Coturnix japonica: one gene and its partners. The protein of the gene in region 3 purifies or fractionates together with the protein of the main gene of each other region. This does not show direct contact. Links are inferred from orthologs where the notes say so. Each region holds a gene or a part of one and is shown on either strand. Other genes may lie near its edges. The genes, in order: PAX9, RB1 and KDM5B.

What was found.
Region 1: the proteins of KDM5B (region 3) and PAX9 purify together in Homo sapiens (affinity purification with western blotting, with the first as the bait; 3 studies listed by BioGRID). This does not show direct contact. The link is inferred for Coturnix japonica from reciprocal best matches to the Homo sapiens genes KDM5B and PAX9.
Region 2: the proteins of KDM5B (region 3) and RB1 purify together in Homo sapiens (affinity purification with western blotting; 3 studies listed by BioGRID). This does not show direct contact. The link is inferred for Coturnix japonica from reciprocal best matches to the Homo sapiens genes KDM5B and RB1.

What each region holds. Positions count from the first base shown.
Region 1 is NC_029520.1:33,284,204-33,289,545, reverse strand, and holds the start of PAX9 (paired box protein Pax-9), read right to left. Parts: upstream 3,251-5,342; 5' UTR 3,054-3,250; coding exon 3,050-3,053; intron 2,211-3,049; coding exon 1,584-2,210; intron 292-1,583; exon of another isoform or gene 205-291; intron 1-204. UniProt on the Homo sapiens protein: Transcription factor required for normal development of thymus, parathyroid glands, ultimobranchial bodies, teeth, skeletal elements of skull and larynx as well as distal limbs.
Region 2 is NC_029516.1:151,039,419-151,044,148, forward strand, and holds part of RB1 (retinoblastoma-associated protein), read left to right. Parts: coding exon 1-112; intron 113-406; coding exon 407-463; intron 464-545; coding exon 546-577; intron 578-655; coding exon 656-732; intron 733-910; coding exon 911-1,113; intron 1,114-4,730. UniProt on the Homo sapiens protein: Tumor suppressor that is a key regulator of the G1/S transition of the cell cycle. The hypophosphorylated form binds transcription regulators of the E2F family, preventing transcription of E2F-responsive genes.
Region 3 is NC_029541.1:934,271-939,000, reverse strand, and holds part of KDM5B (lysine-specific demethylase 5B), read right to left. Parts: intron 3,901-4,730; coding exon 3,823-3,900; intron 3,294-3,822; coding exon 3,171-3,293; intron 2,367-3,170; coding exon 2,196-2,366; intron 885-2,195; coding exon 750-884; intron 201-749; coding exon 107-200; intron 1-106. UniProt on the Homo sapiens protein: Histone demethylase that demethylates 'Lys-4' of histone H3, thereby playing a central role in histone code. Does not demethylate histone H3 'Lys-9' or H3 'Lys-27'. Demethylates trimethylated, dimethylated and monomethylated H3 'Lys-4'.

The DNA of each region.
Region 1 (5,342 bases), on a different chromosome or scaffold from region 3:
AAAAGAAAAAAAAAAAAAAAAAAAAGAGAGAGAGAGAGAGAGATCTTAAAGGGAAGAAAATAAAAGAAAAACAAATGGAAAGGGTGGAAAAAGGAGAAAAGTGCCCTATCCTTTACGTGCAGCAGGCGTGGCACGGAGACCCGGGCTGTGCTTGCTCTCCCAACGACCCCCCCCCCCCCCCCAGCGGAGTAGCGTGCGGGGCCGCACCCGCACTGCGAGTGGCTCTGAGAAGCCCTTTGGACACTGGAGGGGCACCAACCTGAGGCTGGCTTGAGAAACTGAGCCCTCTCGGTGAGTGCCCTTTTCTGCTGATCTCACACTTTCCCATGAATAGGGGCTTCCTTTCCGTGTCAGAGAGGTCAGTTTATCCTATAAATCAAGGGCGAACAGCCCCCATCGGCTCCAACGGCTGCTCGGCAGCCCCAGCCCGGCGCTGGGAAGGAGGGGGGAGGGTTACACCGCGGAAAGACGCGTGCGGCTCCGCTGTGAGAGACGGGGAGGGCGAGAGGCGGCCGTGCGGGCAGAGGCCTGTGTCTGCTGGAGGCAGGAATAGGAGGGCTCGCTACACAATTTTGACTCGAGTGTGATCGTACAGTTTGCATTTCTTTAATGCTTACTACCAACATCACCTCCACACGGCCCAGAGCAAGCGCTGTCAGGAGGGTGTTGTTAAGGCCGACTCAGACACATCTGTTTGTGGCAGCGCTGAGTACAGAAGCAGTTCATAAAGCAGAGGGCGAATAAGTGCAAAAACACTATTCGGGTGTACTTCTAAATAAGAGTTATGTGCTTGTGTATTGCCTGCGGGGGGGGGGGTAGGGGGGAGGAATGTTTTCTCAAAGTCGGAATAAGATAATTAACCTGCAATACATAAAGGAGCACTTCGAATTAGAAGTGCTTCTGGAACCGGACTGCTGCCGTTAAAAAACGCAATGAGAAGACAACTTCCCCCCTCCCCCCTCCGCTCACTGGGAGGGCAGAGCGGGACGCGGGGAGCGCTGGAGGCGGCGGTTCTTCCCGACTGTTGCTGGAACTACAGCAGCCGCCTGGCACTAACTGACATGGAAAAAATGTCCCTTTCCCGGCGGCAAAGCGCAGTGAACGGCCGGGGGACGCGACGCGGTTCCCAGACGAAGAAACAGAAAGAAGGTGGAAGGGATACAGAGAGCAAACCTTCGGGGTTTCGTTTTCCCGGACCACCGCTTCGAAGGAAAATACAGCATCAGAATTAAGGCAATTAGGTGACATTTGAACTTCCTGCCTGAGCGTATTTGGCCTGATTGCGAAAAGCAGAGAGAACGGACTGCTCGGTAACGCCGAGGTGGCGCCTACGGCCCGACGGAGGCAGAGAACCCGCCGGCCGCACCGGCACTGGCACCGAGCGCGGCCCGGGTCGCTCCCTGCGGCCACAATTGGTACAGCTTGGCCCTGGTGCCACCGGAGACGGCCGATGTTTGCCATCACACCCGCAGCACTCCCGAACATTGGCTGCATCCTAATCATTGGGCATGTCCCGCAGAAGCTCAGTGTCCGGCTCTAGCTGGGACGCTGCAGAGCTCGCTACCCTCGGGTCCCCTCCTCACCTTGGTCCGTGATGGAGCGGATGCCCAGGATGTCAGTCACCGAGTGGGACGAGGGCCAGGTGCGGGGCATGGCCATGGTGCCAGGGATGGCAGGCACTCCTGGCGGCGTGGGCACCTTGGCTCCCGCGGCAGCGATGGGGCTGGGGTAGGAGTAGATGTGGTTGTAGGGCAGGGCGGGCTGCGGGGGCGGCTGGTGCTGCTTGTAGGACTCGTAGTGGCCCTGCTGGGACAGGTTCCCGATCTTGTTGCGGAGGATGCGGCTGATGGAGCTGACCGACGGCACGTTGTACTTGTCGCACACGCCGTCGGCCAGCAGGCGATCCCGAATCTCCCAGGCGAAGATGCCCGGATCCCTTTGTTTGTAGGTCCGGATATGTTTAACCACCGTGGGGGTGGTGACCCGCGGCTTGCTGCCTCCGATAGCCCCCGGTAGGATGGAGCCGGTCTCGTTGTAGCGAGCCAAGATTTTGCTAACACAGCCGTGGGAAACACGGAGCTGACGGCTGATGTCGCACGGCCTGATCCCCAGCTGTGCCAGTTCCACGATCCGCAGCCGGATGGCGTCGGGCAGGGGCCTCCCGTTGACGAACACCCCCCCGAGCTGGTTCACCTCCCCGAAGGCGGGTTCTGCAAGCAAGCACAAACACGGCCGTCGGACACTGCGCTGTGCTCCGGAGGGCTTTCATGGGCCGATGTCATCGCGCAACGACCGCCCAGACACGGAGTTCCCAAATAGCAGAATATCACCGAAATTAAAACAAAAGGGGGGGAGAGGGAGGGAGAAAGAAAAAAGAGGAACAGAAAGTGAAGAAAAAAAAATAATACTAAAACACCAGAAAAGAATACCGTGGCAACAAATGTCGGATTTCTCCGAATCGTGCACCGAGCATATTCCAAGGAAGCACATTCCAGAGATGAAAAAATGAGATCGCCCTGACAGAAAGTTCAGCTCTGTTGTCACAGGAAGAGGAACACGAAGAAAAGAAAAAGAAAGAGAAAAGAAAAACATTTTCAGAGACATGGGGGAGGGGAAGGAAGGAAAAGTAGTTGAGGAAATTCTTTTAGATCAGGGAGAGGCGGTGGCAGCGCTGCTCCTGCAGCACCGCCCGCGCCCCGCGTTGTACCGAGCAGTTCTGGGGCTGCTCGCGTTTACCAGCACGATTACAGACGGCTGTAAAACAAACGTGCTAAAACGTTAACTGCTCCGATCGGTGTCAGGAATAATATACAACGTGCCACAGGTTGCGGCCATCCACTCTGCCGCGATCCTGCCTCACGGCCGCATAATAACATTAATAATAAACCAAGCAGTCATTAGCTTTTCCTCCTCCCCGCTCTGCCCCTCGGCGCGCTGTCCCGACGTGTAGAAACACGAATAAAGTCAATAAGGAGCCGCGGTGGCACATGACGGCGCGGGTATGAGTCTCCCTCTCCCTTGACAGCCCCCCGAAGATCCCAGCACTCACCCATTCCTCCGAGCGGGACACCTCCGGGGCCGCCCTAAATCCCCACCGCAGCCCCTGGCTCCCGACCTCCCGCTGCCCCGGCCGCGCTCGCCCGCCGGACTCCCTGCTTTCCTCCGAGGAGATGGCAGGGGGGCGAGAAAAAAAAGACTACGAGGAAATCTACTTCCCGGCGAGAGAGCTTTGAGTTCTGCATTTCAACCTCAGGGCAACGTGGGCAGGGCCGGGCTGGGCCGGGAGCCGCAGCCCCCCGCTCCCGAGCCCGCCCCCGGGGGCGGCCCGGCGGCCCTGCAGCCCCGCCAGTGGCCGCGGGAGATGACGGACAGCGCTGGGCCGGCGGCCCTTCCGCTGCCTCTCGCGGACGTGCTCAGCACCTGGTCCCTACCGCAACAGCAACGCCCGCCTAATACCTGCCAGGCGGTAAGCCGCACGCGAAGAGAAATTAGCGCAATTAGGGAGCGGAGCCGGTATTGTACTGGGCACCGCTGTGAGGGGCGTCGGGGCTGGGCCCGGCGTTCCGCGGGTTCCCCAGCCCCAGAAAGCGGCTGCGTAGAAAGCGGACGGTGCCTGGGAACGCATACGGCTCTCCTGTCTTTGCTCTGCTGATCTGGCAGAGTAGGTCTTTGTTTTCAGCCCTCTTTACAGTAAAGCACTTTTTGACTACTGAACATATCACGGGTGGTGCAGGAGAGGGTGGCAAACGGCGGCGGTTACATTATTTTTGGTGCAAGCCACGAAGCTGTCGGGAATTCAGCTGCAGCCTCGAGACGAGATGGGCCGGGGGCCCCCGGTATATCCCCGCGGCCCGAACACCCCCGAGTTTTGGTTTAATCGCCTCGCCAAACGATACACTGCGCTGAACTACTCGTCCTGCAGCCCATTCCGACTTTATCAAGGACACTGCTCCGTATTAACGGTTAAAAGAAAAACAGACAAGGCTGGTAGGAATTAGAGCGTGCGTGGGTCACGGCGTGTTTGGTTTGGCAGTGGGTGCGCGGATCCCACTCTATGTGCTTCTCTCATGCATCCAACGTCTGTTGCAAATCACGGGCTTCCCAACCTCGACCAAGAAGTTACCGTAATTTCTTTCACTTTTTTTTCCTGAGTGTTTTTGTTTGTTTCTTTTCATAGGCTCCCAAAGACCCAGGTCCGACAAAGGGAGTAAAACGTGAGAATGGAAATGATACGGTGATGGCAGCGCACGGAATATCGGCGACTGAAATACGGATCTAACGTCTCTGGTGTGTATGAACGCTCCTTATTACATGAAATCTTTGTAAGATACTTCAAATATTATTATTATTAATAATAATAATAATAATAATCGAGCTAGATTGCAGAGCCTTCACATAACGCACAGTCAGAAATAGGGACGATGCTACGGGGATCTCCCAGAAAATCCTGGTGTGTTGCAGACGTTTTGTGGAGAAAAGAAGACGAACGCGGTTATTTTGCATCTCTCTCCATTTGATCGGAATATTCGCGTGTCCTTCTGTTCATTCTTCGGGTATTCAACTCAACCATTTCCTATGGCAGTTTTGTGTTTGTTTCAGGAACACGAGGGGCACCTTCGGAACACCACATGCGTAAATGGTGCGCTTCCGAAAGTCAGACCCATCACCTCTGCTGAAGGGGTCCCCCGCACTGACACACGCACATACCAGTTCAACAACCCGAAAGCGATCGCGTTCATTCTCTGCAGCTCGGCGCGGTGACCTGACCCGCCGCGACTAGTTTTAGGGCAGGAGGCGCTGAATTAGCGGGACCCGGATCCAACATTTAATTAAATTAATTACTTAATTTAACAAAGGAGAGGAGTGCGTGTTCGTGAGCCTGCCGACCTGCATTAGCAGTGTGCCCTCCCCAAAGGACAGCAACCGGGAGCCCCGGCCGCTCCCTCGCCGCTGCCGCCGGGCCCTGGACCCATTACCTCCCGCTGCCCCCCTCCCAGAGCCCGACGGTGTGAAACCGGGGCTGAGCTCCACGCATCCTCTCGGTTCCAGCCCGGCCCCGCGACTCCTGGACTCAGTGTCCCCGACTCAGCAGTGTTCCCCTGCTGCTCGGACGTGAGCCCGAGCCGCTTGTTCACAGTTTCTTACCCATCTGCGCCCATTGTGTTCACAACTGTGTCCTTTCCTTTCACCCCCCTCCCCCCGAGTGTCTTCCAACCTGTCTGTTCCCCTCCTTCCCTCTCCCACCCCTCCACCCCGCCTCTGATCTCCTGGATATTTGGTTTCTTTCCCTTTCTCAATGTGTGTTCCTGATGTGGTCCTGTCGGAAAAGCTCGTTTACTCTG
Region 2 (4,730 bases), on a different chromosome or scaffold from region 3:
CACAGTGAACCCTGAAGACAGTATCCTGAAAAGAGTGGAAAGCCTTGGACACATCTTCAAAAAGAAATTTGCTGAAGCAGTTGGGCAGGGATGTGCTGAGATTGGCTCACAGGTAAGTAGCATTTTGATTATTACTTGTTATAAACTTGATGCTAGCTAATGTGTGACCTGACTTACTACTTTGTCTTCAGTGCAGATTAACAATAGAAAGTACTAATCTTTTCAAGGAATGGATATGCTTTTCTTTTAATGCTCTGTAAAGATAGCATTAACAAGTGGTTCTTGTTAATGCTATGCTAATACTAATGCAAGCAAAAACAAAAAAGCAAGCCAAAAAACATAGGATTCTTAATTTTTTTTCTTTCTTTTTTTTTTTTTTTTTTTTTTTTTCCCTCCTTTCTAATAGAGATACCAGCTTGGAGTACGGCTGTATTACAGAGTAATGGAGTCTATGCTGAAGTCGGTAAGTTTCGTACTGATAGCTGTGTACTGGCATTGCATTTTTGATGGCTGAAAATAATCAAAGCTTCATTTATATACCTCAGGAAGAAGAGCGTCTCTCAGTGCACAATTTTAGGTACGTACCAACCACTGATCATTATTACCTGTTATTTTATTTTTGGGATAAGTATTAATGATTTCGTTTTCCCTTTAGCAAACTTCTGAATGATAACATCTTCCACACATCTCTTCTGGCGTGTGCTCTTGAAATTGTCATGGCTACATATGGCAGTAAGTTGAATCCAAAGTGCTAAGGAGCACTGTTAGTGATTGCGAATTATTGCTATTTATTCTAATATGTAAAATGCAGTAAATAGCAAGGAAACTAGCAATGATTTAATAAATACCAAACATGTGAGAAGTGAAAGAATGTAATGCTCTTGGTAATCGTAATCTGCTTCCCTTACAGGAACTGCTTCACAAAGTGATGGTACCAGTACCGAAACAGACTTGTCTTTCCCGTGGATTCTCAATGTATTTGATTTAAAAGCTTTCGACTTCTACAAGGTGATTGAAAGTTTCATTAAAGTGGAGCCAAGCCTAACAAGGGACATGATAAAGCATCTAGAACGCTGTGAACATCGCATTATGGAATCTCTTGCTTGGCAATCTGTAAGTAATGTTTTAAAGCAGTTATTTGTCCTTGTATAACATGCAAATCTAGAAAAAAATACACCTAGATATATAAAAGAAGTTGAAGTCTTGCTGAGATGTGTTTCTGGCAAAGAGCTAAAGAAGATCTTTAGTGTGTCTTCAGGTTTTGGGAAGAAAGAGAGAGATCAGCTTAGCACTGCTGAATTATGTGCCAGCATCTTTCAATAGTCTGGCATGGATATTAAGAGTAGTAATGCCCATACACAGTATTTTGGTGCCAGTAGACAAGGCAGTACATTCTATGCACTTATCTCTAAACTTCATCTGGTTTTTAGTCCTGCTTGACTGTAAGGCATTGTGCATCTGATGTGATTGTTAATAGTATTTAAAATCCCAATTCTCATTGTAACTTGCACTGAAATTCCTTCAACTTTTTTGAATGGCATCAAAAGCATTCTGGCAGGTTGGGTTTTGTGTTTCAGGGTGAATCTTCGTAAGTCAACAGCTGTTTCTTTATACTGTGTATTAGTTATGTACCAAAAATGCTATTAATGGTACAAAACAGGAGACTATAAAGGCTGCTGACAGAATGACATGAAGTGACCATTTAAGAACCCATATGATATCTTGTAGATCTGGGAAATTTAAAGAACATTATATGGCATAACTAATATGATATTCTACTGTGAACCAAGTTTGTATATGATTTTGGTTAGATCTTGGTGAGATGCACATGCCTCTCTGCTGCTGAATGCATAGAATTTCTTTGAAAAAGACTGCCTGAAAGCACTTGAAGATTGAGAGCTTTGTACCAGAGCTTATAGTAGCAGAGAAGATGAAGAACTTTGCTCAAAATGTTTAAAGAATGCTTTGCTTATTTGAGAATTTTAATGCTTGGAGGGTAATGACAGAGATACAAATACTTAAATTTTACTCTCCACAAGCAGAAAATGGCTTCTGACACCTCATGCAGACTGGTTTGATTCCAGCTTAATCATGAGCAGGAAGGCTTTAATCTACCAATTTCTACTCAGTAATCCAAGCACAACATGCAGATAATCTGATTCAGATTTGGGCTTTCAGACTGGAGAATCCAAAACACAGTGTTTTCAGTATTGAATCTGTTGTCTTGAGTTGCCTGAGGTGTTTGGCACTGTCTTGGAGTGGCTTATGCAGCTTATTTCAGAGGCTGTCAGTAGGTATCTGTAGAATTGCAAAAGCACTTACTTTGTTCCCTTCTTATATAATGCTTGGCCTGTACTTAAAACACAGCTAAGCCAACATCCTCCTCCTTGATACAGGCAGGCTCATCACTAGAGGGCACAGCAGGGCTCTCAAAAATGGAGGGTAACGTGCTGACAGCCAGCTATGTGCTGGCTGCAACTGGACTGTTACTCTCCACAGTTACCCTGTGACTCTGTGGCCTCCTCATAGGAGGTCCTCCCTTCCCTCTAGAATTACTATTACAGTAAATAACTTACATAACTGACAGTTACTATGTTGTTAAGGCTAGCTGGTTAATTAACATTTAGATTTAGACTACCTCAAGTACTCGGGTGCAGTTTGGGTTTGTAAGAAATTAGTGTCCAAAGGACGGCTATAAAGATGGTGAAGGGTATGGAGGGCAAGTGGTCTGAGGGGCTGCTGAGGTCCCTTGGTGTGCTCAGCACAGAGCAGAGGAGCTGATGGAGGCCTGATGGTGGCTGCAGCTCCTCACAGGGAGCAGAGGGGCAGCGCTGAACTCTGCTCTGTGTGACAGCGACAGGGCCCGAGGGTAACAGTTAAGCAAAAGGAGGAAGTATTTCAGTGGTAGAAGTCTGCTAAAGGCTTTGGATTTCCTCAAAAGATTGAGCTAGTGAATGAGTGGGTGATTTATTGTATTCCTCTGTGGTTTATTCTCTGGATGCTGTCTCCATGTACTGATGTGCAAGATGAAAAAAGTATAATCTTAATTAGTAATTTCCTCAGTAAAGGGTATGTAAGTTGAGATGTGTACTTTGTAAATGTCTCTTATCTCCAGATGCTATAAGGGAGCAGAATGGGTAGGTAACTTATGCTTAGTTATAATGCATGTCTTACAAGTGATTGCAGGCAGAATGGTTCATTAGGAGGTTTGTCTGCTCTTGGGAAGTCAAGTGTATCGTCTGTGTTAATCCAGTTTTTCTTCCTTCTGCTGACTGCTTTTGGAAGCAAGACTATAATGTGAAATTTGAAGGGATGGGGAAATTGAAGGGAGAATAGCTGATTTTATTGTAGTTTTACTTGTTTTGAGAGTTTTCATAAGAATGCTTTACATAATTTCTCTGAAGATAAACTCATCTAAAGAGCTCATCTAACCCTTATCTGACACTGGAAGCTATATGCAGTAAACGTGAAAGACTGAAGATAATACATTGCTTCTTTGCTAGTCATCATGAATACGCTTATTGCTTTTTGCATTGCTAGTTGATTTAGTTGTCTGTACATGAGGAAGGAGATCAAACAGCTCTTTTCCATTAAGGAAAAAAGAAATCATAAAAACAACAAACCAAAAAACCCCACCCCCAAATAGTGGAAAAATATGGAAAACTCTTCCCAATAATACTTAATTCTGAAAAGGGGCAAATGTTGACACTAAGTCATGCAGAAAGTATGGCATTTTCTTTAGATCTTAAATGAACCCTGAAGTTAGAAGCCCCTTTTATCCCAGTAGAAGTTATCCACAAATGAATTTGTGCTGCTTCCAGATGCAGATTATATTCAGACCAATTTGCTACATATTTTTTATTCATAAAGTATACCGTACTATCTGTATATTTAACTGTAAAGCATTTGTACCTCATCTCATTGAAGTATTTAGGGTGCTACTTACATTTGGTAACTTGATTTAAAGGGCCTAAAATTACTTCAGACTCAAAAATAAAGGTGTCTGTACCCCTTGATTCATTTTCACCTTATTGATGATATAAGTACATTTTAAACCTTGGAATGGTTGGTCTGTTTCCTATGAGAAACACTTTTCTATCAGATCGATATCTCTTGTGGCCAGTTTAAAAAAGGAATTGTTTTGAATATCTCAGATTAAAGCTATATGAATGCATTCCTGGATCTTTGAGTTTCCCTTTGAGAAAGCCCTGTTAGCTGCTGCACTGCATGTTTCACATTGCTGCTGTCTGCAGTGAATTCAGAAGAACCAGGGAGGAAAATCCATCTGGTTGTGTTTCCTGGCTTCTCAGCCATGAACAGAGCAGTTTTATATTATATTTGGCATACCTGAAGTCATACTTTAGTGCATCTACGTAAGCATGAAGAGTCCAAAGGGTATTCCTAGCAGGACCATGGTTTTATAAAGTTACCTGGTAGCTTCTGTGGTTAACAGACATGGGAGACCGCTGGATCGCCCTCTGCAGCCCACAGCAGCCCAGAGGGAATGGGGAAGCTTATCCCTGCAGCCTTGTGAGCTGGGCTAAATGGAGTTCACTCTCAGTCTCATTTTGAGTGCTAGGTTTTGTTTTGTTGTGCATGAGACAGATGAACTGAAGCAGTGCACTGCGCTATAGGTGGTGACACCATAAACCTCTTTAAAGGTTTCTCTTACCAGGTTGTTCCTCTTAAGAGTTAAAATAAAATCCGAAATAGGATAGTGAACTTGATGG
Region 3 (4,730 bases):
GCAGTACCCGCGTCAGCCAGTGCTGGATCATTCCAACTGCTGAATTAAAGCCTGGCTTTAAAACCATGTCTGTGCAATGCAGAGGACCCTACTGCTCTCTGCTCACCATTCTCACACTTTGGAGGTGCACATCCCATCCTGCGTCTCAGATTATGAGTTCTCGCCTCTGGAGAATCAGATTCAGTCTTAATGTTGGTTGCCTGATGAAGAGAAAAAAGGAATTAAGAGAGGAAAAATGAACAAGCCCATAACACCCTTAAATAGAACACTCTGGGTTTGCATTTGTGCTTGGGAAAACCTTTGCTGCCCCTTCAACTCAGGGCTGCCCACCCATGGATGGAGCTCCTCAGAACTCCTGGCCTGAGCTCTGGTTTTGGATTTTCTTCTTTTCCTCTATCAAGCATCACACACTTCACAAAGCTATGGATATTTACATCTGTTTCTATTTCATAAACCACCATTTACCACTGGTGTGCATTGGGATTCCCCCTGCACTGAGGGCAGGGCTGGCTGAACAGGCTGGGAACAGATAGTGTAGTGAGAGCTGCTCTGCACAGGGCTGGGGCTGCACCACTGCCAGCTCCCCTCAACCCAAACCGTTCTATGTTTTAATGACTGGGGAGATACCCAACTCAAACGGCATCACAACAACACGCCGTGCCATTAACCCCTGGGTCAGCTCCACTTGGGTGATGCCTCCCAGCTGGGTCAGCATGGAGCACACAGATGGGGCAGCTCACACAGCTCACCTCGGCCCGCAGGCGCTTTGCACGGCGAGCAGGAGGGCAGCTTTCAGACGGCTGCACCGACTGCCTCTGTGGGATGTCGTGGGGTTTGTACTCCTTGTCCTTCGTGTCACTGGTGAGATCCGGCTTCTGCAGACACTGCAGAGACACAATTGGAAATACGATTGCTTCACTTCTTTCCCTGCTCCTATTAAGAACTTTGTGCTGAGCAATTTGTTGGCTTGTGTGAAAGAATGCAGAACGGGGCCTTCATATTTACTATGCTCAGTTAATAGGAACAATATTTGTGACAGTTTTAACAGTCCCACTTTGAACAAGTTTCAAAATCCCTTTTTCTTGCCCAGCAACTACAACTGCACTTCCAAACTCCAAACCATTTCTGACCCTGAGCTGCAGCCCCAACACTCCTCCAGCAGTTGCTGCTTTACACTCCCAGCTGCACACATGAAGCCCTGGCAGTGCCCCACGTTGTGCTGCTGGCACACAAGAAGCAGCAAGGTGATGTGCAGCCACACTGCTGCCTGCTCTCCATCCTGCTTTTAAAGGAGAGAACAAATAGTAAGGAAAGGAGGAGTCTCTTTATCTGAACCAGCCCACCCAACCTGCTGCAGCCACATCCCAGTGCTGGGAGCCTGCTCCTACCAGAACTCTATCAGCAGCAGAGAAAAGAGGATGGGAACTATAAGAGAACAGGGATGGATTCTCTGCAGACAACAAAAGAAGTCGGACTTTGAAAAACAGATTACAGAGATGGGGAGGGAAGAGAGGGAAAAATGGCGCTTCAGAAGATGGGAGAGATGAAAAGGAGTGAACAGAATAGGAGAGCAACGCCATGGCAGGCAGAATGCTGCTGGATTTAACCACTCTTCTAAGGTCTGGAGCCTCCAATTACACCCTCATGTGAAACCTGAACCTTCACTACTCCTCCTGGTTCCTACTCCTTCTGGTAACTGAGGACATACGATCCTTGAAAGCAAATATCTAGAAGGCAAACAGCTCTTCCTAAACAAAGTAAGGATGAAACACTGAAAGAAAGCAACAAATGGCCACATTTGCCTTGTTTCAGTGCAGTGTCCAAGCAAAGAGAGAGCACAGCTCAACAAAGGGAAAGCCCAGAAGACAGCACTAAAACCATTACACTGGAGGTAAGAACAGTCATTACTGGGGGGCTCTGTATGATACAGAGAGGAAATACAGGAAGGCTGTATTCCAGTTGGTGGCCATGAGGTTACCTTGAGGAATCCCATTTAGCAGCAGCTCTAAACATTACTCTTGGTTACAAGCTTTCCTGTGGCTCTTTACATGGCTTGCAGCATCACCACAGACTGCACACTATTAACTGCATGCTGTAAAGCATGAAACGCGGGCGCTGGAAAGACTCTGTTGACACAAAATTAACAGAGACACTCTGACATGGATAGGATTTGAGTTCAGACACAACACACTTACCAGCAGGCTGGCTCCAGACTGGAATAAGTTGTAAGGATAGAGAATTCGCTCATAATGCGCACGGATGTGTGAACCCACGGCCTTGCCAGGAGCAAATCCCATCCTCGTGGCTATTTTGGTCCATTTCCTCTCTTTGCAAACGACATCAAACCCTCCTTCTTCTGCAACTAGCTGAAAGAGAACAAAACAGCTGCAGGTTTAACACTAAGGTGATCGGCATTGAAGGAACGCACTGTGAGGGTGAAAGGAGACAGAGACACAACAGAGTTACTGCTTTAATAGAGAAAACTCATCCTATGACTCTAAAACTATCAATTAAAATAAAAAGATATGAAGATTATGTAGAAGCTGTAACTGGAGCATGTCACCTTGTCAGGAATTGCAACCTTCTTTGGATTGCTCAGCAGACAAGTCAGCACTGCATGCGACGAGCAAACAGCAGCTCAGCCAACTCCTCAGGATGGCCTGGCTGCATTTTTCCCCCTGCTCCACAACCACTTTTCTCACTGCAACATGAAATGGGCTCAGAACCAACCAAACAGGAACTACCCTACATGAAAGGAAGGGTAAAGAACCATCCCTGGGGGTGGTGAATCCCAGCCCTCACTATCAGGACACACAGTCTCCTCCACAGGTCTAAAGGCTCCATCTCAAAAGCGACTGATTTTTCACTCCCCTACCCCTCATGGAAATGCATTTTCTACCTATTGTTGTTCAGCAGCTTCTTCCTGGTATAAACTTAAGTTTCTTCCTGACCAGTTTGTTTCCAAGTTCAACCACAGAAGAGCTGAACATCTCATTTCATCCCCATGCCCAGGTGACAACTCCCACCATTACATTTCCTATTATTTCATCACATTATCTAAGCCAGCTTAAGTAAAGTAACACATTTCCAGCTCATATACAGCCCCAACTCCTGAAAGCCACAACATCACACCACCACCTCCAGGGGAGCTCCCCCTTTAGCAGCCTTACCCTATTAAGCTGAAATAAATCCAAGATCTTCCTCTCCACGTGTGGAATTTTCAGCGTGCAGCCCTGGAGCTCCCAAAACTTCGCAATCTGGTCCAGGAAGTTCAGCTTCACTCGGGTTTGGGCCTGGAAAACAACAAGTGAGCAGCGTGCCACGTGCAGGCTGTGCTTCCCTTTCCCAGCACTGGTGCAGCCACAGCCACCCCTGCCTGCCCACTGCTCCCACCTCTGCCTTGTTGAGGCCCGAGTTGATGCCAGCACTGAATGGAAGAGCTCACAAACAGATCTGGCACCAACCTCATTTTCTAACTGTTCCACACGGGTTGTTATTTTTAAAGCTCTCTCTATGTGTTTCATCTCTTCTACTTCTAAAAGATGCTGTAGATGCACAAAAAGAGGGCAGAAAAGGTACAGTGTTGAGAATTTAAGTTTAGCCACTTAAAAGTGCCTTTAACGAGCATTAATTTCACTTTTTATGGCTGGAATGCCTTATGTAATTGCTGGAACACGTAAATTTCTGTGTGTTAACTCCAAGCTGATGTGCAGAGGTACCAAATGCTGTTGGCTGAAGTCACACAGAGCTCAATAGCAACGAAAAACATAATGAAAGGGGAAAAAAACCAAAGAGATGGCAATGTGTGGCTTTACAGCTTACCTCCAACTCATTGAGCCGCTGAATCCTTGGCGTGAAGTGAAGCTTATCAACATCACATGCAAATGGAGGCTGCCAGTCCTGGGAAAACAGAAGTGCCTCATCAACAGGGTAGGAGGTGAATGGGGCTGCCCTGCACAGAGCACAGAGCAGGAGAGCTTCCAGCTCCTCATTCCTCATCTGCAAACACTTGGGAGCAACCAGAGCACGAGCAATTAAACCTGAGGATCACCACCAAAACAAAATACCTGCAAACCGCCGCTGCTGTTTGTAAATACGACTATAAAGGAACTTTATCTCTCAGATCTCTTGACACTGATCACGTGCTGGTGGTTTGGCAACAGGCAGCTTTGCTGAACTACATTAGATTTGATCTGAACTTGACAGTAATTTATTACTTATAAAGCAATCTGATTATCACTAATTACAGAATGAAGATAACATGCGCAGCACTACTGAAATGGGAGAGCTCTGCTCCGGGAAAGACACCTGCGATGCAATGTGTCCCTGCAGTGCACTCAGCACAAACGAGCTGGGGTTACAAGCTGCACATCCTTTATTTCAGCAGGGAAATGAGACCTGGTGCTAAAGCAGCCATGAGCAACATGGGAAGCAATGACCAGCCATGCCAGCAGCCGGGCTCAGTGCACCCCGTGGCTCACTGTGCTGTGCCCAGCAGAGCCTGCAGCAGGGATGTGGAGTCACAGAACACCTGCAAACCCAAAGACCAAAGGACTCCCAGACACGTATTTTGTCCAACACACAAAACCAGCCTGAACCCCAAGGCAGTACGGACGAGTCTTGGGATCCTACAGGGCATTTTTGATACATCAAGGCTGAAATCATAACTATTTAAGCTTCCAGGCTTACCAATGTGCCCAGCAGGCCCTTCAGTATGGGCCTGCAACCCA